Linked DNA regions of Arabidopsis thaliana. The protein of the gene in region 1 purifies or fractionates together with the protein of each later gene. This does not show direct contact. Each region holds a gene or a part of one and is shown in the gene's direction. Other genes may lie near its edges.

Region 1 (7,183 bases):
CATTTCATAGCTCAAAAAAATTAAAAAGGAAACAAAAGAGGTGATTTTTGCAATGTAATAAGAAAAATTTCAAATAAATTATATAGTAACTAACTAAAAAATCACGAAGAAAAAGGAAAAGAAACATTCAAATCGTTATATGTTTCTTCTTGTTAATTAGAGATCACACATTTCTGAATGTAGAATTTTCAAATATTATAAATTAAAAAACGATGTAACAAAAAGAATGATTGCATCGAAATAGACATGATATATACTTCCCTAACGATCTTTTCAAGTCCAAACACAATATCTTTTGCAAATAATGCGATTTAACTTTTGGTATTTGATATTTTCTTTATTCATTTGCGAACATAAAACAAGCAACAAAGAGAATGAAGAGATAATTATTCATTGATTAAACCTTAACAAAAGATCCGTTCATCAGATATGAACGGCAACAAATATCGCATGACTAAACGAACCAAAACGAAAAACAAATAATCAAAGAAAAAAACCCTAATTAATCAAGAACAAACAAAGAAGAAGAGAAACTAGCAGGTGACATGGCAAGTGTAACGAACAAGAGGAACAAAGAAAGGGTCGTTGAAGAATCCCCAAGCGACGTCGTCACATTCACTTTTCATGTTGACAACAAGGTTGCAACAATAGTCACTAACTTGAAACAACCTCGTGTAGAAACTGACTTCCATCTGCATCCGACACATCCCAACAGGTCCCATGTTTATCATACATCTCTCGATGTGTTCCCATGGATTCTGTTGATGATGAGGTGGATTTGATGGAGATGATGAGTGATGACTTGGTGGCGGAGGTGGAGACTTCTTGGGTGTTGGAGGTGGAAGAGACGGTGTTGAAGGAGACTTCTTGGGCGCTGGAGGTGGAAGAGACGGTGTTGGAGGCGGAGATGGAGACTTCTTGGGCGTTGGATGGGGAACAAACGGTGTTAATGAAGGCGGAGATGGAGACTTCTTTGGCGTTGGCGGTGGGGGAGACTTTTTAGGAGCTGGAGGAGGAGGAGACGGTGTTGATGGAGTTGACGGAATCGGCGTTGATGGAGAAATAGAAATGGCAGGAGCAGATCCGTTGCTATAAGTACATTTCCAGACTTTGGAATCTCCATAGCCGAAACTATGGCCAGTGTTCAAAAGCATCAGTTCGTTTCTAGTGATTTCAGACGGGTTTGGCCATCCTTCGATTTTTGGCCAGTATTTTCCGACGGTTGTGGTCGGAAAAGCCACAAGACAAAGAAAAGCTGCCGCTACAAGCACGATGGAGGTTTTCATTCTTAAAGGGAAGATTTGTGAGTGTATACAAAGAAATGGACTAACTCGTTCTTTATATATAGAAGGATTTAACTTCTTTTTTTTGGTTGGTTACAAATATATCAAAGATCTTTTTAACAACCAAAAAAATATGAAAAAATCCATATCTCGTAACTATTATTTTTTAAAATTTAAACTGTTGTAAATATTATCTCTTGGAAACTCGAAAAGAATATATTTTTTTATTTTTTTTATCTAACAACTTTCTTTCAAAACTCAAAACATATCCTTGTTTACAAATGGGATTAAAAAGTATGGACAAAAATGTATAAACACCACGGGGTCATGGGCGTAGGCAGTGTGTAATTAGGGGGTCAATTGACCCCTATGAATTTTAAAATTTCTACTATATTTTATTAAGAGTAATTATAATGACCCCAATGCATTATAGTTTTTGATCCCCATATCAAACTAATTCAACTAAAACGACAAAAAAGCCAAATAAGTTTGGTTCATTAGAATTTTAAACCAAATTGTAATGTAATAAAATTAAAAATCCTTGACTTATTTAAACTTAAGTTCAACTAATGATCTAATGTTATAATTATATATATAAAAAAAACACAATTTGTTTTTGCTTTTCTTAGTCTTTGTGGACCATAACAAAAAGTTGTAATTATTAATTTAGTTGATTTTCAGATATTTTTCTCAGGTGTAGATTATTTCTAAACAAAATAATAATAAATTTTATATAATATACTATTTTTATTAAAATTCTGATCCTTATAACAAAATTTTCTAGCTCCGCCACTGCACGGGATGTTACATCGAATTGAATTTTTGGCGTAGAGCATCTGCACAAGTATTCTGCTCACGATGTTTGAAAACAAAACTTTGGTGACTTGAAACTTCGCGTCCATCCACTTATCGTAGTTAGATAGTGTTGCAGTCGTGGTGATGATCCATTGTTGTTTTTGAGACTAATTCGGTTTTTTATATATAGAAGGATTTAACTTCTGTTTTTTGTTGGTTAAAAATATAATAAAGATCTTTTTAACAAACGAATAAATATGATAAAATTCCATATCTCGCAACTATTATCTCTTAAAACTTAAACTGTTGTAAATATTATTTCTTGGAAACTCGAAAATGAATATTCTTAACGAGAAAAAAAAAACATAACGAAAATATGTATATTGCAATTATAAGACTTAAAAAAATAAAAAATATTAAATGCAGATTAACAAAAAGAAATTATTAGATGCAGATTTGTGTAGATCTTTGAAAAGACCTATTAAAGCCCATTTAGGCCCATTAAACGACAACCTATTAAACCCATTTAGGCCCATAATAACGGCGTAGTTTCAGAATTAGACAGTGAGGCAATGGAGCATAAAGTAACACCCGAAAGATCCGACCCGGAGAAGAGAGATCCGGACAACCCGACCCAAATATTTGACATTTTTGGTTCGATGTTCTTCTTCTTCCTCTATTGATTTTTCTGATCTTCCCGTTCGATCTCACTCTGTTTCCCAAAAACCTTCGTGTACCTTCGTATTCTCTGCATTGGATTTGAAGCAAATTGATGAACTAGTAATCTCACACGGATCTAAGAGCAGGTAAAACCAAAAATGAACACTACAAAGCTATCAACGAATTTTCCATTTTTTTTTGAAATTTTATTTTCTTTCGAAGATCAGATCAGTAATCTTATTATCAGCTTCTCTCGTTCTCTTGATCGATCTGAATCGAAATTGTGACAATGATCAGCCGTATTTTGTCTTTCAGAAGTTATGGAGTGGGCAACGGTGCAGCATCTGGATCTGCGTCATGTAGGTCGCGGTGTGAGCAAGCCACTACAACCTCATACGGCGGCGTTTCATCCTTCTCAAGCCGTTATCGCTGTTGCCGTTGGCTCTCACATCATGGGTATAATACTCTCCGCAAATTCTTATCGATTGGTTTCATAGTTTGTGACTGTTTGATATTGAAACTTATTGGTTTTTGCAGAATTTGATGCATTAACGGGATGTAAGATCGCGTCTATTGATATTGGATCTCCAGCTGTTAGAATGTTGTATAGTCCTACTAGCAGCAATGCTGTTGTTGCCATTCTTGAGGTCAGTTTCCTCTAATGTTATTGTAGAGATTTTGTTTTCAATTTGGAATAGTAGTTTTAGCTTGGTGTTCAGTGTTTTAGAATGATTTGTGTTTGGAATTGTTTAGGATTGTACAATTAGGTCTTGTGATTTTGAAACGGAGCAGACTTGTGTATTGCACTCACCGGAGAAGAGGAGTGAGCACATTTCCTCAGATACTGAAGTTCATCTTGCTGTGACGCCACTTCAACCTGTTGTGTTCTTTGGATTCCCAAAACGAATGAGTGTCACAGGTTGGGTTATCAGTTCATGAGTTCTCCTATATGAGTAGGTGTGCTGGTTTATTTTACCGATTGACTGTATTTGTTCTTTTCTGTAGTTGTTGGAACTGTTGAAGGTGGAAGAGCTCCAACCAAAATTAAGACAGATTTGAAGAAACCAATTGTGAACATTGCTTGCCATCCTCGACTACCTGTCCTGGTATGATAAAACATTCACACATTTTCATGTTAGTGTGTGGAATCTGATTTTGTTGTACACACGCGTAACTTCTTGTTCAATGTTTTGTCTTTTCAGTATGTAGCATATGCAGAGGGGTTGATACGAGCTTATAACATTCATACTTATGCTGTTCATTATACACTACAGCGTGAGTTTAGGAGGATCTCACAAGTCTCATTGTTTTTATTCTTCTCACTTGGGGTATCCTGAGCAATAGCCACCAGTTAAAGCAGTTCTTTGTTATCCTCGCAGTTGATAATACTATTAAACTTATCGGCGCAAGTTCGTTTGCTTTTCACCCAACACTAGAATGGATTTTTGTTGGAGATAGGAGGGGTACACTTTTAGCGTGGGATGTTTCAACTGAAAGACCTAATATGATTGGAATGTAAGTCATTTTCGTTGCTTTTAGATTTCTGTCAGCTGGCATGAAATTGCTATCCCTTTTTTTTCTCGCAGCAATTCATTCTTGTTTGTTATATTTTGGAACTGCAGAACGCAAGTGGGTTCGCAACCCATCACTTCAATTTCTTGGCTTCCTATGTTGCGTGTACTTGTCACTGTGTCCAAGGATGGATCTCTTCAAGTGTGGAAGACACGAGTAATAATTAATCCCAATAGGCCTTCGACACAAACAAACTTCTTTGAGCCTGCTGGTAAGCCTGATATCTCTTATAGAGAAAATATATTTTCCTCCCCGACTTAGGAATAATTCCCATGGTTTGGTTTGGAGACTTTGATTACGCATTGTAGCACTATCCTTTTTTTTTTTTCTTTGCAGCTATGGAATCAATAGACATTCCTAAAATTCTCTCCCAACAGGGTGGCGAAGCTGTTTACCCTTTACCACGAATCAAAACTTTAGAAGTTCACCCAAAGCTGAACTTAGCAGCTTTGATTTTTGCAGTTAAGAATACTTCCTACTGGCACTCCTTCCTTAGGTAGAAGTGTGGCTTCTGTCTTTGACATACTGGGTTTCTTATACAGAACATGGTGGGTAATGAGAACACTCAAAATCGAGCAGCTCAGACTAGAGAAGGAAGGAAGCAGCTCTTTGCAGTTTTGCAAAGTGCTAGGGGATCTTCAGGTGAATCTTGAACACTAATGTTATTCAAACATAACAATTGATACTCTTCTTAAGCTGTATGGATGTGTCTCTTGAGAGTAACCAATCCTCTGTTAATAGTATGGGTTGTGGGTTCGACCAGAGTCGTTCGTATCAATATCCGGCTTTCTAACATGTGAGATGATTAACAGCTTCTGTTCTAAAGGAAAAGCTTTCGTCTATGGGTTCCTCTGGAATTTTAGCCGAGCATCAACTTCAAGCTCTGCTACAGGAGCACAAGGGGTAGGTGGATATTTCTCATGCAATCACTGTTGGAAAATTGCGCAAAAAAAAGTTACTAGCATGTGCTGTGAATTCCGTACCAAATGACTCAAATTTCATCTGCTTCATAGTTCACTCTGTTACTTTTCTACAGCCAGAGTCAGCTAACAATTTCAGATATCGCACGGAAGGCGTTCTTGTATAGTGTATGACTGCTTTACCTTCTTGCTTAGACATTATGTTTGTTTTATTATTTGGAACTATTTTGAGCTTAGTCGATGAATTAATCCGTACAGCATTTTATGGAGGGTCATGCCAAAACTGCTCCAATATCAAGGTTACCCCTTATTACGGTCGTGGATACAAAGGATCAACTTAAAGACATTCCTGTTTGCCAGGCATGTAACTGTTGTTTAGTGTTTCTTTTCTGTAGTATCTGATTTATGCCTGACTGATTGGATTATCTGACAGCCATTTCATTTGGAGCTGAATTTCTTCAATAAGCCAAATAGAGTTCTTCATTATCCTGTGAGGTCCTTTTATATCGAGGGCCTTAACCTCATGGCTCACAATCTCTGTTCTGGAACAGACAACATCTACAAGAAGCTGTACACATCGGTATAATCTGATATCATGTGATTTCGTTTTAGTTTTTGGTTTCCTTTTACTTACAGAACTTTTCTGTTTCAGATCCCCGGAAATGTTGAATATCATTCGAAACACATTGTTTACAGTCGTAAAAGGCACCTCTTTCTGGTTGTCTTTGAGTTCAGTGGTGCTACAAATGAAGTTGTGCTTTACTGGGAAAATACAGGTTCCCAGCTGCCTAATAGCAAAGGAAGCACTGCTAAAGGTTTGTCTAATCATTGGATTCCCTTGCTATTCTTTAGAGAACTTCCTATCCTGCCTCATAACTTTTAGTTTTGAAAACATTAAACGGTATCATACTGCATCCAGTCATTTAAATATACCAGGGGTACAATGTATGCTATAAAACAGTAGTTACTAACAATCAAGGAAGCTGAACGTTTCAACGAATGATCTGTTTACTTGATAGAGATGCAAGCTTAGAATTATTTAAGCCGTTCATCCTTTTTGTTTTCCTATGTTTCCAAAGGCGTAAACGAACAAGAGAAGAGTAACCTCAAAGCTATACTTTTTTGGTATGCAGGTTGTGATGCTGCCTTTATCGGCCCAAATGACGATCAATTTGCAATTCTTGACGAGGATAAGACAGGACTGTCTATGTATATCCTCCCAAAACTTACCACAATGGAAGAGAATGAGAAGAATTTGTTATCTGAAGAAAACCAAAAGAAAGAGGCGGATCCTTCTGGAATTCAGGGTCCACAACAATTCATGTTTGAGACAGAAGTCGATCGTGTTTTTTCCACACCGATAGGTGATGTTGCATCAGATAATCTCATTCTTGAAGTTACAGATAATCTCATTCTTGAAGTTACTTATCAATTGGAGCATGCCATCGCTAACTGATGCCTCTTTAAATTACAGAGTCCACTCTGATGTTTGCTTGTAATGGAACCCAAATTGGGCTGGCAAAGTTGTTTCAAGGCTACCGTCTCTCAGCTTCAGATGGTCATTATATTTCAACACAAGGTGAGGGACGAAAGTCAATCAAGTTGAAGAAACATGAAATAGCTCTTCAGGTATGCAACATCTATTATAACTTCGTACTGTTTATTAGTAGTTTGGTGGGAAATTTTCCAACCAAATAAACTTTTGATATCTAGTATTTGATTCTATGACCAGCTCAGTAAATGCAGTCGTTTTATTCCTTACCCTTTAATGTGGTTTACATCTGGCCGGTTCTCTTTGAAATTAAAACGATCATGTTCAGAAAATTGACTCGTCATGTTGGTGTTAGCGTTCTATTGCTGTCAAAAATTGGTTGAATCGACAATTGATATTCCTGAAATTTTGGTCAATCAACTTTTGTATTACGTAGAGATTCTTAGAATATGATTTAGATT
Region 2 (7,494 bases), on another chromosome or scaffold:
TTAACTTATATGCTAACCTAGATTACTTGAACAGAGCCCAGCAGGAATTATTCAAGGAATGGCTCACGGAACCACAAGTCTCTTCAGTAGCACTATTTATGCTTTAAGTGATGCTGCCACTCAATTTAGTAAAGCTGCACACAAGGTACGATGCATCTGTTTGCTTAAAAATCTATGGTGTAGACGCCTCCTTCAAGAAATATTTACAGAATTACCAATTCGTTGCAGGGTATTGTTGCATTTACATTCAATGACCATGATGTTGCAAGGATGGAGAAGCAGCAATTGGGTGAAGGATCGCGTAGCAAAGGAGTTATAGGTGAAGTGTTTGAGGTATGTTATTTGCACTTTCTTTGGAAGTATGTCTTATATACTGATTTGATGTTCACTTAGTCTTGAAAGTTACTTGAAGTCAGTGACTTCTGTCAAATTCTTCTGAACTTGCATAAAGAATTTAAGCATGCCAGCTGACACGATGTTCATCACAGGGACTCACTGGTCTCCTTCAATCACCAATAAGAGGAGCTGAGAAACATGGTCTTCCAGGCGTTATCTCAGGTATTTAAGCGAGAACCACCGCTCAAGTCATCTATAGACATTCAAGACATTTGATGTTCGTGTACACGCTGTCCTTTTGTTTCTGGCTTTCTAATTTTATGCATGTTAACTGGGTGCCTATATATGGTTCAGGAGTGGCCATGGGGATTACTGGACTTGTGGCCAGACCAACCGCTAGTATCCTTGAGGTAACTGGAAAAACCGCACAGAGTATAAGAAACCGAAGCAGGATTCATAACATAAGATCCCAAAGGCATAGGCTTCGTCTTCCGAGGCCTCTGAGTAGAGAACAACCTCTCAGGCCTTACTCATGGGAAGAAGCGGTCGGGACAGCAGTACTTATGGAGGTTGGAGATTCCCTGAAGTTCAAGGGCGAGAAGCTGGTGAAGTGCAAAGCCCTGAAACAAGAAGGAGCTTTCGTTGTAATCACAGGGAGACTGGTATTGGTTCTAAGCAGCCTGAGCTTGGTAGATTTCAGAAAACAGGGATTTCTCGGAGTTCCAATAGATTTGGTATGGAATATCGAAAGAGAAATCGGTTTGGAGAGTGTAATACATACAGATTGCAGCGGTGGAGTAGTCCGCATCATAGGAAGCAATTCAGATGGTGTATGGAACTGGAGACAGGACCAGCAAAAGAAGAGCAGCCCGACCAAAAAACGATGGAACAATCCTTCAGCACAGCCGCTTCTTCAGACTAACTTAGAGTTTCCATCGGAGGAAGAAGCAGAGGACTTGTTGAGTGTGTTGTTATCGACTATTGAAACTGGGAAAAGCCGGAGCTGGCACAGTCGATTTGTTTTAAGTCGAAGTAACATCACTTAAACCGGAGACTTGCGTACATAAGAATACAGTAATTCTTTAATTTTCTTTGTGTACAAAAGTGGCTTTATGAAACTAGTTTTAGAATATATGGTCTGACATGTTTTGGCTATAAAATTTTTTTTAAAAAAAAAGCGTAATAAATCGAAGTGTATTGTACATGGATTGTCAGGCATCATCATGATGCTCATATATGTGGCATCATCATGGTGATGCTGTTTTTCATGCGGGAGAAATGTTTTTACCAACATCAAATCGTATTGCTGCGGAGTTGAGAGGGATATTATGGGTACTACACAGTCTATGTGATCTACACTTCTATAATATTGAGATTTGGTCCGACTATGGTGCTCCTATGGAAGCCATTAGTGACCCATTAGATTGGCCACGTATTTATCTTATCTTGATAGGATTCATTGGTTTCTCCCGAATTTTGATAAGATCGTATTTAAGGTTTCATCGCACGAGATATAGCCACAAGCGTAATGAGAGAAGGTCGATGCAGATCATATTTAGCTCGTGGAAGTCCGATGTGGTTACACTCGCATTGAAGAAGACAAGCGGCGTTGATTTTATTGTTCTTTATTAAGTTAAGATCTTCTATAAGTGTATGAGGAAAACAAGTTTAGACGGGAAAAACAAAAAATCGAAGTGTATTGAGTAAACTTCAATGAAACCTGTAAAGAAAAAATTAAATTAAATTGAAGATTAAATAAGACTTTAATTTTGATTGCAAATCTTTTTATCGAATTCTAGATTTAGTTGTAAACATAGTAAACCCTTATTACACCAAATACTATAGTCATTTTGTTTGAGATAATTCATTTGGAATTCTCTTTAAAAGTTTAGTGATCGGAGGCTTCTCGATTTTCTCTCTCTTCTCTCACTTGAATTTTTCAGAGAAAGAAAAAGCGATTCATGGCAAGACTCCGTCCAACATCGTTCGGCTTCTTTAACGACGATGGTTGGTTCGTTTCCAGCATCAATTGGCTTCTTTAGTGGTGGTGGCTGGCTTTTGTATCCGGACGTGGTCCGGCTTTGCCGTCTTATCTCGCCGTCTGGTTTCTACTTTTCTCTTTAGTGGAATCCGGCTTTAGTTTCCAGTTCTTTGATACCGGTTTTACCTTTCTGCTTTTCAATAATCATTGTGATCTTAGTACCAATTTTTTTTTGGGTTTTCCTTATCATCCTCTTTTCTCAAGCTTTTTTGCATCCTTATTTAGATGAAAGTCAATCTTTGTTTCATTTCTAATCTTTACCTTTTGGGTTTTAATCAACTATTAGAGTTTGTTTCAACCTAAATCGATTCTCTCAATCCTTTGATTTAGAATCTCAATTCGGCATATCTGGTAAGATTTAATCATCAAGAGAAATCATGGTTTTTTATTTCTCTTTTGTCATAGATCGTTGCTGTTCTGGAGAAATTTAGATCAAATATAAACTCTGGATATTGTGGAGCAGAGAGTCAGATTTACAAGCGTGATGAGATTGTCGTAGAGGAAATGGTGGGTTATCGGATTTGATGGTGGTGCTGGGAGATAACGATGAAACAATCATCGGCGTAAGAGAAAAGTCACATCCACGTGTCGTATGTTGCTTTGACTTGTTTTATTAGCGCTGTACTCTTTACTACAAGGTGTTTAGTTGTACCCTTTATGGATTTGTGAAATACTTTGATGACTGGGCTTTAGTGATGTTTGTAAACCCATAATTTGAATAAAAAAGAAACTTATGAACAAGAAAAAAAAAAGTTCAGTGATCCAACGGATCCACAATTAATTTCCGTAAATGGAATATATTTTGCGACAAAGGAAAGGGCTAAAACAATTGTTATTGGGCCTTTTTTTTTGGGTTAATCAGACTAGCCTTCGCAAATTCGCGCTTTACGCGTTTCGCGTCTGAAGACACTACCGGAGTTTTTGTTCGGCGATTGTAGTTAGTGGTGGTGGATCCGGGCATTTCATTTGATAACCGCGGTGGATCTAATTGATCTGGATCTGACCATAGCCCTGCTTGCTTTTTCTGGAAATTTTTAGTGTGTAGCTCTGGAGAGTTTCTCGTGAGTCGAATCGTCTATGCGGATGCAGTTGTGCTCAGATTTTTGAGTTGTCTAATTGATCTTGAAGAACTGTGAGAGAGAGAGAGAGAGATCGAAATGTTGCGGGCGAGAGCATTTCGGCAGACCAATGGTAAGATTGTGAAGATACAGGTACATCCTACGCATCCATGGCTTGTTACGGCTGATGATTCAGATCACGTCTCCGTCTGGAATTGGGAGCATCGTCAGGTCTGTATCGAGATTCTGATTTGATTTTGGTTCCGGTTCTGATTTCGAATCGTGGATCTGTCAACGTTTATGTCTATTGTGTTAGGTAATTTATGAATTGAAAGCCGGCGGAGTTGACGAGCGCCGTTTAGTTGGTGCCAAGTTAGAGAAGCTCGCCGAAGGAGAATCCGGTGAGCCATTGTTCTATTCTGGTGAAATGAGTATGAGTTTCTGATGCTTTATGTTCTTACTGACATTCGTATTTTCCTCAGACTATAAAGCTAAGCCTACTGAAGCCATTCGAGGAGGAAGGTAGTAGATAGATCTTTCTCGCTGCTAATTCAGTTGCTCCTTTCGATAATGAGAAAAATGACTTATCTGCTCAATGTTTGCACCTACTAGCGTTAAGCAGGTGAAGTTTTATGACGATGATGTGCGTTATTGGCAACTGTGGCGCAACCGCTCCGCAGCTGCTGAATCTCCATCAGCTGTCAATCATCTGACATCTGCTTTCACTTCCCCTGCTCCATCGACTAAAGGCCGTCATTTTCTGGTCATTTGTTGTGAGAATAAAGCTATTTTCTTGGATTTGGTGACAATGCGTGGTCGTGATGTGCCAAAGCAAGAGCTTGATAACAAGTCACTTCTCTGGTAAGTTCATTGCTTTTTCTCTAATTTTAGGATATGGGTTTGCTTGACACCTGGACCCCGGGGAAGATGCTCCATTACTTTAGGCTTCCTATCTTTAAATCACTTGAATCCTGGAAAGACCTCCGTTAGTTACTACGCTGGAAATATTTGAGTCAAATGTAGACTAGGCATAAGTGTAATGGATATGTGTGTTCTAAGTGTAATGGATACCAGGCTTCCTTGATGTTTAATGTTCAGTCAATGGCCAAACTCCCTTTCTACATTTTTAATTTCTACTCCTCCTTAATGTTGCTAGAATTCTTCCTTTCTTTGCAGCATGGAGTTTCTTTCGAGATCATCTGGTGGTGATGGCCCTTTAGTTGCATTTGGTTCAACTGATGGTGTCATTCGGGTTTTATCAATGATAACATGGAAGGTTTGTTTGTTTCAAAATTATATTTTTTTTTTTTGGTTTCTCTGCTGGGTTTAGAGTGAGGGATTTTGATACTGATCTGTGTTAATTTCCTTGAATGTTTACTTCCTTGCAGCTTGCACGTCGATATACAGGTGGCCATAAAGGATCCATTTATTGCTTGATGAATTTCATGGCATCATCTGGCGAAGTAACTACATATTCCCTATATATGCCCTCTTTATTGCTCTGAATTTATTTCGAGTTATTTACTTAATATGTTAATAGTTAATACCATCTGATAGATGAAAGTGTCATGTAACTTAGAAAAACATACTCAAGATCACCTACTAAGATCGACTGTATATATTATATGAAAACGAGGTCTTGAGCATATCGTCTTGGAAGTTTCCTACATATATCTCTTTCTTCTTAGCGACGTAAAAATCTCACATTCTACTAAGTGGGAGTCCAGACCGCAGCAGGCCTTACTATACGGATACCTGTTTTACAATCCAAATATCTAGCCTTAGTTTCTTAGATCATCTGTACTCGGGTTAAATTTCATGCATAGCCTAGGCATTAGGAGCGGCGGGAATTTTAAACATTGGCATCTCTTTTCCCAATTGCTTGTTTAGGTTATGTTAATAGCGAATTTCTGATAGTACTGGGCTTTCTTCCCTTTTATATAACTTGACGTTTTTTAATGAATGCTTATCAAGTATTTTCTCTCTGTTATTTATGTGCAATACATGATACTAGCCATCCTCTATCTAAATGCAATTGCAGGCACTCCTTGTTTCAGGTGGCAGTGATGGCTTACTTGTACTGTGGAGTGCCGATCATGGCGCTGACTCAAGGGAACTTGTACCCAAGCTTAGCTTAAAGGTACTCAATTATGCCCACTCTTTCATTCAAAGTTCAAGAGAGGATATTACCATGACCGTTCAATTCTTAGGCCTGGAAAGATTTGCCAGATTTGGTTACAGCTGAGGCTAAGGCACCATTGTTCTTAGTTCCAGTGAACCTTCTGAATTGATTTCTGTGTCTGTTTCTGAATGTTGGATACTTGCATTTAGATATTCTTTCATTCTTTTTATAAAAGGCTGAGTAATGATTAGGGGACTATGACATGCTCGTGCTTTTTTTTTTTTTTTGGTGTAATAGACATGGTCATGTTTGCTTAATTGAGTGGATAATTTCCACTTCTCTGTTATACTTTTTTTTTTTTTTTTTCCTAATCCCTTCTTGGCTTCTTCTAATGTTTTTGTTCTGATTGTATTAGGCACATGATGGTGGGGTGGTGGCTGTTGAGCTGTCAAGGGTAAGTGGGAGTGCTCCACAATTGATTACAATTGGGGCTGACAAGACATTGGCCATATGGGATACAATGACATTTAAGGTAATGGTGTATCTCATGTATGGATTTTTCATATTTTCCCGATCTCATTTATTAACATGCATATCTACTTTTATTCTACAGGAGCTACGTAGAATTAAACCTGTCCCGAAACTAGCTTGCCACAGTGTTGCATCTTGGTGTCACCCTCGAGCGCCAAACCTTGATATTTTGACTTGCGTTAAAGATTCACACATATGGTATCTTTGTTTAAGATTTGGTATTGTATATGGTAGAATATATTTATGTATATTAGATGAGTGGTCTAATTGTTTGAATTTTTGCAGGTCTATTGAGCATCCAACTTATTCGGCCCTGACAAGGCCGTTATGTGAACTTTCTTCCTTGGTTCCGCCTCAAGTACTTGCAACCCACAGAAAACTTAGGGTAATTAGCTCATTGTTGATGAAATCCTCGAAATCTACCACGTATCATATCATTTCTTTCTGCCTGCTAGTTGTATACTATATCAATAGCTCATGCTCAAGCCTGAGCATGAGCATTGCTCTCTGAGGCTCCATTCTATGTGTCCCACAAAACATTAGTTTCTCTTCTTATCTCGTAAAATGCATCTATTATGGTTCAAATGATGAAGTTGTGTAGCTGTATAATATTGCACTTGGCAATGCAAAGGTATTCTGACTCAAGTAGACTAGGAATAAGAATAAGAATAGAATACAACTGTTTGTATTACTTCTTGCAGAAAAGTTTTGTATATAGCAGACTTTAAATTGATAGCTGTTTGAACACTAAATTTATCTAAAAGAAAATTGCAATGGAGAAGATACGTAATCTTTATGTCAGATGGTGATAGGGAAAGCACATGCTGCACCCGAAAGTTGAAAGTTATTCCTTTTTCAGAATTTGCAGATAATATTCGGGGTTCATTTTCTACTTGAAACCGCCAGTTGATGATTTTCAAAGATTGCTAGTTTCTTTATTGCATAATTATAATAGCATTGCTTCTGTACTTCTTTCGCTTTCATGGCTTCCATACATTGGTAGTAACCCTCATCAGGTACTTATTAATTTCCATTTTTTAGGTCTATTGTATGGTTGCACATCCTCTACAACCACATCTCGTCGCAACTGGTACCAATGTTGGTATTATAGTTAGTGAATTTGATCCTCGTGCTATCCCGTCTGCAGCTCCTCTACCAGCACTGCCTGGAAGTCGGGAGAATTCAGCTATATATATCCTTGGAAGAGAATTAAAGCTCTTGAACTTTCAACTATCCAACACAGCCAACCCATCCCTTGGCAATAATAGTGCCTTGTCCGAATCAGGGCTTTCTAAGGGAGACCCAGGTGAACAGTTAACTGTAAAGCAAACCAAAAAGCAGATCGTGGCACCAGTTCCACATGATTCATACTCAGTTCTTTCTGTGAGCAGTTCAGGGAAGTAAGT
Region 3 (7,194 bases), on another chromosome or scaffold:
TACTAGTCGCAGCCTAGTTTCCAGGATGATAAACAGTGCTTCTTGTACATATAAAGGATAAGCAATGCTTTTAATGATTGAGTCCAAAGCTTTGATATATAAGTGGAGTTTTACAAGAGACTTCTTAAAACAAATGCTAGTGACAAATCACCTAGTGAGTGTGGAATGTGGCCGTTTCTAGGAGAATGAGAGGCTATATTCTCTAAGTTCACTCATGAAATCCAGGATTGTTCAAAGCCAAAATGAACACAATCTAGAGAACTTGTTTTTACGAGAAAAAGTAGTTGGGTTTTACCTGTTGTCTAGGTTTACATAAAAATCTGGGTGGTTAAAGACATCATGTTCACCTCCTGGCCAAGTAAATTCGACAAATATTAACAGTGAATAGTTTAAGGCTGAAAAATACTACTATCTCATACACATCTATTTTTTGCATATACTCTTGAAAGTTGAGTCTGTAAAGTCTAAGTCAGTTTAGGTTATCGAGTCAGTCAAAAGTCTCAAATGTTTAGAGTCAATTTTATTCATGTGGGGGATTGTTGGAACTCAATTTTACACAAGTGGCTCCGGCTAACTCTTCGGTGATTTTTCCGGTGATGGCCATCACCGGAATGACCGGATTATGGAGTCTTTGAATTCCTTGTAATGAGCACTATAAGATAGTGTAGTTACATATAAAAATTGAAGTTATTATGAATGAGTAATTGAGGTCCAAAGTGGTGAGCTTGAAAGCTTATAATAACAAATATTGACAATTGTCCCATATTAGAAGTTTTAAGATCTCTCCTCTAGCATATATGGTGCTACCCATTTAACATGGTTCACTAGCTATTGGGAAGGGACACTATGGTGTAGGAGATGCAAGTCCTTTATGCAAAACAACACACACACACGCTCCGCCGCCGTCGTGCCGTGCCGAGCCGGGCTTGGGCCTTGGGCTCTTGGGAAATGGGGCCTTTGGCCCACAAACAATGTTCTTTTTGGGGAAAATACTTATGAGGCTTTGTTGCATTATTTGTAATATTTGCAACATAGTTTTTGGCCCAAAACGAAAGCCCATATCGTTTCCATAACTAAGGTATATTCGGAATATTAAAAGCATATCCGAATATTCCTTATTCGAATCTTAATTCCTTAAACGGTTGTGATAATGGCTCCGCTAATCATGCCCACGTCTTTGACTTGCGCATCACTCCGAATCCCACGATCTTTGATTTGCGGATTGCATTTCCTCACCTCTCTCCTATAAAAGGAACACATCTTCCTCTCATTGTACTCACTCGTTTTTTTTGCTAAAAGCTAAAACGAAACTCTCTCCCTTTCTCCCTTTCTTCTCAAAGTAAGTCAAGAGTATATCGTTTATTTCATGTTCGCAGATTCCGCTATCGAGTGCTGCGATACCGGTTTTATAGTGATTGTATTCTGCGATCCACTGCTCATAAAACCGTCACACTGCGGGAGCTAGTTTGAATTATGGAAAGAGATCAAATCTCGTCTTCACTCGTTTTCGAAAAACGTCTTTCCTAATCGTTTTATAAAGATTTTTGATTTATTGCAAATCAGGATTTCGCGGTCCTACAATCCATTCAATCATAATAGGAAGGATAAAAAGGGGAAAAATGTCAAAAAAATCGCGAACTTTCAAATTTGGGACAAAAAAGCATGAATTTTCGAAATATCAATTAAATACCAAAGTTATTGTTGACTTTAGAATTAATTAGATAACTTTTATCGATTTTGCCAATTTGGGCACGATGTTAAGTCAATTGACGGAAAAATTAACAGAGTTAAGTCTTCTGTTATAAATTCCGTTAACTTATGAAACAACGTTGTTTTGAATCTAATTTTTTATTACAAGTTCAGGAATTGAACTCGCAACCTTTAAGATAAAACAACATTCCTTTATGGGAAAAACGTCGAAAAAATCACCAACTTTCAAATTTGGGACGATTTAATCTTGAACTTCACGAAAGACAAATAAATCGTAAAGTTTTTGTTGATTTTCGAAATTAATAACAAAGTTATTGTTGACTTGCCATTTCAGTCATGTCGTTAAGTAGGTTAACAAAACGACGTCGTCTACTTCAACTTCCTTCTTCCGTTTTCTCTTCTTTCGATTTGATTTGGGCTGAGGAACATTGTTCGTCTCCTCACCAGATGGGATTCGAATCGATTCGGCCTCTATAGGATTTGAGATAATGAAATCGATTTGGGGATTTAGGGTTTAAATTTGTTTCAACAGAAGAAACGATGTTGTTTGTCTCTACAATAAACGACATTGTTTTGTCCTAACAGAGCAGATAAACGGAACATGAACGTCGTAAAAAAATTCTGTTAACCTATGTAACGACATGACTCAAATGGGAAGTCAACAAAAACTTTGTCATTTATTTAGAATGTCAACACAAACTTTACGATTTATTTGTCTTCTGTGAAGTTCAAGATTAAATCGTCCCAAATTTGAAAGTTGGGGATTTTTTTGACATTTTTTCCATTCCTTTACCGACTAAGCTGAATCATTTATTTGTTTGTTTCTCAGAAACATACATATTTATATAGGTTATAACAAAATGCCCAAATTAATAAAAGTTAGGTTTCGATCCCTTTGTCACAGTCACCAAATAGGCGAGTATCTTGCCGTCGTCAACTCATCGCATCCTACACAACACGAACTCAATTAAGTAGAAGAATATCTCTAGAACAAGAAACCTTAATTTCAGCACAATTTTCAGAACATGATCAATCTTTCCCTAACCAATTTCAAAAGTTTTTTCCAAGAGAAAACTTGATCAAAAAATGCAAAGATGATGAATTCTTTTTAATCGTTGAGGTTTACATCTTAATTTTTCGTCCCAAATTTGAAAATTTACCTTTATTTTTGACATTTTTCCAAAAAATACCAAAACAAAACTTTGGATGACAAATAAAAGATTCACGTGCATCTCACGTGCTTCGTGATAATTTAACAAAAGTGTAGAATTTTGATAATTTTGTAAAATTGTAAAGTTGCGTTTGTCTTGTTGAATCGCCCGTCACTAAAATCCTCTCCGAGAATCCTCCTCCGATCTGCCACTAGCTATGGCGGTAAGCATCGTCGGATCCTCACCGTATTTCACCGGCCAAGAATCGAATCCAAGTTTACCTTTCTTCCATTTTCCTCTTTACAGGAATCGTCTGGTACCACGCTAATGGATCTGATCTCGGCGGATCCAACCCCGGTTCCTGCACAATCTACTTCTTCGTCCGCATCTTCCACGGCGTCTCAGCCGACTTCTGCTTCCGCATCGTCTTCTTCCCATCTGCACCATCCAATGTCGACGAAGACGACTCTAGGAGAGAAGAAATCGAAGAGAGCCACTTTGATGCAGATCCAAAACGACACTATATCTGTTGCTAAAGCTGCACTGAATCCTGTTAAGGCCAATATCATGCCACAAAGGCAGAGACAGAAAAAGAAGGTTCGATCTACTAATTGAATTTTGTTTGGCACATTTATCTGTGTTTGAACTAAACCCTGGATCATTGGAGCTAAGAAAACTAGATTGTGGTTGTAGATTTGAATTGTTAATAGGAGGTATCAGTGTATATAGAGTCTCTGTTGTAAATAGAGTCTTAGTGAGTCAATATACCTATGTCTTGTTCTTCGATGTAGTTAACACGACTTTATGTTGCAAATGACTTCCCAGCCGGTTTCCTATTCGCAACTTGCAAGGAGCATTCATGAATTAGCTGCCACTTTGGATCAGGTTTAAGTTTGTGTTCTTATGCTCTGCCTTTATACCTCTCTTCTTCTGCTGAAAATAGTATCTGACTGTTTCTTCTGTTTTTCGCGAGTGAGCAGAAAAGTTCTCAGAAACAACTAGTGAATCACGTGTTCCCTAAGCTTGCTGTGTACAACTCAGTTGATCCTTCTCTGGCCCCATCTCTTCTTATGGTATGTGTCACTGGTTACTCATTTGACGACCAGATAGTGTCAGATCAAGTACAGTTTCTTGTATCGTTTTTTATAACTTTATGATGGAGCATCTAAAATGATTTGTTCTATTAGAGTTTTTTTTTTCTCTACCCATTAAATTATCATGGATCTTCACAAATTCGCATTTTCAAAAACAATATCCGTCAAAGAGAGGCATCAGGTTTTTAGCATTCTTTTTCTCTTGTGATTGATACAGCTTAATCAGCAATGTGAAGACAGGAATGTGCTACGATATGTTTATTATTACCTAGCTAGAATTTTGTCCGATACGGGCATGACTCCAGGGGGTGGTATCCCCACTCCTAACTGGGATGCTCTAGCAGATATTGATGCTGGTGGAGGAGTCACAAGAGCTGATGTTGTTCCTCGGATAGTGAATCAACTTACAAACGAAGCTACAAATTCTGAATTTGAATGTGAGTTTCACTCGCATTTTTCAGGCTTTAGTGTTTTATTTTATACATTTCTGCCTTGGACTGTCTTAATCTTATTTATCTTTATAATGGTATTAGTTGTTAATGTTTTTTAAGAAATATCCCAGTACCTTTATAATTTTCTTTTGATAGACCCAAATGCTGAGAGGAGTGACGTCAAAAGGTAGTTATGTTTAGATGTGGTGTCAGTTTTGGTATGGATTTAAATAATTTGGGGGTTATGGAAGTGAGAACCAACATCTAAGATAGATTTCCAACTTTCCATCTGTAATGTGACTGGAGATGAATTTCTAACCTTATCATATGTTTTTCTTCAGTTCATGCTCGACGACTGCAAGCTTTGAAAGCTCTGACATATTCACCATCAGGCAATTCTGAGCTTTTGTCAAAATTGTATGAGATTGTATTTGGCATTCTTGAAAAGGTTTGTCTGACTGCCAATGCTCTATGATTTTTAACAAGATGCTTTGTTTATTTTTAATAAACCCTGGCGTAGTTCATTGTCTGCACTCTGCGTGATTTAACCGTAGTCCCACCTTTTCTTATTTATATACAATTATACTATTTTATTCTTATTGCTTTTCATATGAGTGTGGTTTAATTTACGGGGGTTTTCCCAGTGACATGCAGAGGCCCTGATTTATCTTTCTTGTCGCTTTCAGGTTGGTGATGTTCCGCATAAACGAAAGAAAGGTGTATTTGGGACAAAAGGGGGTGATAAAGAGGTATCTTTCTAAACTCTTAGGTTCCTCCAGGAAAAGACTTAAGGCTTATATACTAGTCATGTTCCTGCACTTTATAATTTTCTTTTTTACAATGCTCTGCATGTTCTTTGCCTGCTGTAGGGTAGAAATTTCTCAAAATTCTTGTTGATGACTGCATGCATTAGGCAGTGTATCATAGTTGCTCTATAATGATATGAGTTTGCACATCTGGAGACTCTGGCTATTAGCTATCAGATTTTTAAGGCCCGAGTTAAATGTTATTTGAATTAATAAAACCATTTTTTTAAAACATTACAATTCTATTCGTATATCAGATTATCAATAAGCCAAAGGAACAACTTTGATAACTTAGCTTCTAGATATGTAGGCAGACGAATAGAATTCTTCCTCACTTGAGTATACAGCTTCTGGATTGCAGAAGGTCAACACTAAACTTTGTTATTAACTTGAGCGTTTTATCTCGTTTTTGTTAGTCGATTATGCGAAGTAACTTGCAATACGCTGCTATGAGTGCACTGAGAAGACTCCCTCTTGATCCAGGAAATCCACTTTTTCTGCACCGTGCAGCTCAGGGGTAAGACTTTTTTTTTGGTTCTTTCTACTATCTTTTTAAGTATAGAGTATTGGATTTAAGTATAGTGATGTAGGTTTCACAAGAGCAATTGAATTTTTGGTCTATTCCTAATTATGCAGTATATTGGACAGTTATTCTCGTATTCACACTTTTATGTTGCAGTGTTTTCTTTGCTGATCCTGTTGCGGTGAGGCATTCACTGGAAATTCTATCTGAGTTAGCCACAAGAGACCCCTATACAGTAGCAATGACATTAGGTAAATAATTTGTTCTATTCCCCCTTATATTGTTTTTTTCATTCTATTTCTGTGTGTAGAGACATAACTGTTTTTCATTCAAAACTTGATATGTGTCTCTTGATCTTTTTGCTGCAGAAAAGCTTGCGTCTCCAACAGGTATGCTCACCAGGCCTTTTATCTCTTGACGTTAATCTTTTTGCTGGTTATTTCGTGTTTATTTGTGCTAATTATAAAGAAGTGTTTGGAACACGATCTGGGTTAGCTGATATACCTTTCTTCTGTACACCAAATTAGGGGCTTTGCAAGATATCCTGCATATGAATGATGTTCTTGCTAGAGTTTCTCTGGCTAGGTTGTGCCACTCAATATCTAGAGCTCGGGCATTAGATGGTAAGTACTATCAACCTCTTTCTGCTGCCCGTTCTCGCTCTGTTTTTTTTTCTTCTTATCTGGCTATATGGGAGAGATCTTTTGAGAACTTACATGTTGCTAGTTTCCTTTCAATCTTCCTACAGAGAGGCCTGATATTAGGTCTCAGTTCAACTCAATTCTCTATCAGCTACTCCTAGATCCAAGCGAAAGGGTATGCTATGAGGCGATTTTGTGCATTCTGGGAAAACACGATAACACTGAGAGGCATGAGTTCTATGACTTTGATTTCTCTTAGTTCATTCTTTGTAAGGTATTGAATAACCAAAATGTACTGCATCATTTAGGATGGATGAGCGTGCTGCTGGGTGGTATCGCTTGACGAGAGAGATCCTGAAGCTGCCAGAAGCACCATCCTTGTCCTCCAAGGATAAATCTAATAAAACCAAGCGTCCACAGCCCCTTATTAAGCTTGTAATGAGGAGGTACTCCTAGCTTGGTGGAAGACTGTGTTTAGAATTGCAGATCTTATGGATTCCCTTTCCTCACTAGAATGTTGCTTTGGATTGTAATGATCGTTATGGTTGTGTTTCTTGTTAAAGAACTTTCGCAAATTGATCCTGTTCTTTCAGGTTAGAGAGCTCATTTCGCAGTTTCTCAAGACCAGTACTTCATGCAGCAGCAAGGGTTGTGCAAGAGATGGGAAAGAGTAGAGCAGCAGCGTTTGCTATGGGATTACAGGACATTGATGAATCCGTTCATGTAAATGCATTTTCTGATGCTCTAGATGATGCTGAGACCAATGAAAGTTCTCATCCAGAAGGTACATTGTCAGTATCCTCTTAATATGAATTACAATCTTTTTTTTTTATTTTGT

The links. The genes of interacting proteins can lie anywhere in the genome.
Region 2: the proteins of AT3G50590 (region 1) and AT5G24710 fractionate together in Arabidopsis thaliana (co-fractionation; one large-scale study listed by BioGRID). This does not show direct contact.
Region 3: the proteins of AT3G50590 (region 1) and AT2G07360 fractionate together in Arabidopsis thaliana (co-fractionation; one large-scale study listed by BioGRID). This does not show direct contact.

What each region holds. Positions count from the first base shown.
Region 1 is NC_003074.8:18,768,234-18,775,416, forward strand, and holds the start of AT3G50590 (Transducin/WD40 repeat-like superfamily protein), read left to right. Parts: upstream 1-2,785; 5' UTR 2,786-2,884; intron 2,885-3,053; 5' UTR 3,054-3,058; coding exon 3,059-3,194; intron 3,195-3,275; coding exon 3,276-3,385; intron 3,386-3,491; coding exon 3,492-3,657; intron 3,658-3,743; coding exon 3,744-3,844; intron 3,845-3,940; coding exon 3,941-4,013; intron 4,014-4,117; coding exon 4,118-4,253; intron 4,254-4,360; coding exon 4,361-4,521; intron 4,522-4,646; coding exon 4,647-4,771; intron 4,772-4,852; coding exon 4,853-4,952; intron 4,953-5,122; coding exon 5,123-5,213; intron 5,214-5,346; coding exon 5,347-5,398; intron 5,399-5,488; coding exon 5,489-5,590; intron 5,591-5,663; coding exon 5,664-5,810; intron 5,811-5,882; coding exon 5,883-6,045; intron 6,046-6,363; coding exon 6,364-6,594; intron 6,595-6,704; coding exon 6,705-6,859; intron 6,860-6,976; coding exon 6,977-7,066; intron 7,067-7,183. Other genes in the region: AT3G50580 (uncharacterized protein), read right to left, coding at 534-1,286.
Region 2 is NC_003076.8:8,463,961-8,471,454, reverse strand, and holds the start of AT5G24710 (Transducin/WD40 repeat-like superfamily protein), read left to right. Parts: upstream 1-3,281; 5' UTR 3,282-3,534; coding exon 3,535-3,666; intron 3,667-3,751; coding exon 3,752-3,836; intron 3,837-3,917; coding exon 3,918-3,957; intron 3,958-4,047; coding exon 4,048-4,296; intron 4,297-4,611; coding exon 4,612-4,711; intron 4,712-4,823; coding exon 4,824-4,898; intron 4,899-5,476; coding exon 5,477-5,575; intron 5,576-5,972; coding exon 5,973-6,089; intron 6,090-6,170; coding exon 6,171-6,286; intron 6,287-6,373; coding exon 6,374-6,473; intron 6,474-7,129; coding exon 7,130-7,488; intron 7,489-7,494. Other genes in the region: AT5G24740 (vacuolar protein sorting-associated protein, putative (DUF1162)), read left to right, coding at 35-145, 229-333, 489-558, 691-1,382.
Region 3 is NC_003071.7:3,052,984-3,060,177, reverse strand, and holds the start of AT2G07360 (SH3 domain-containing protein), read left to right. Parts: upstream 1-2,981; 5' UTR 2,982-3,078; coding exon 3,079-3,084; intron 3,085-3,167; coding exon 3,168-3,458; intron 3,459-3,686; coding exon 3,687-3,746; intron 3,747-3,841; coding exon 3,842-3,934; intron 3,935-4,172; coding exon 4,173-4,392; intron 4,393-4,727; coding exon 4,728-4,834; intron 4,835-5,072; coding exon 5,073-5,135; intron 5,136-5,608; coding exon 5,609-5,709; intron 5,710-5,871; coding exon 5,872-5,966; intron 5,967-6,083; coding exon 6,084-6,104; intron 6,105-6,242; coding exon 6,243-6,338; intron 6,339-6,463; coding exon 6,464-6,590; intron 6,591-6,664; coding exon 6,665-6,802; intron 6,803-6,949; coding exon 6,950-7,140; intron 7,141-7,194.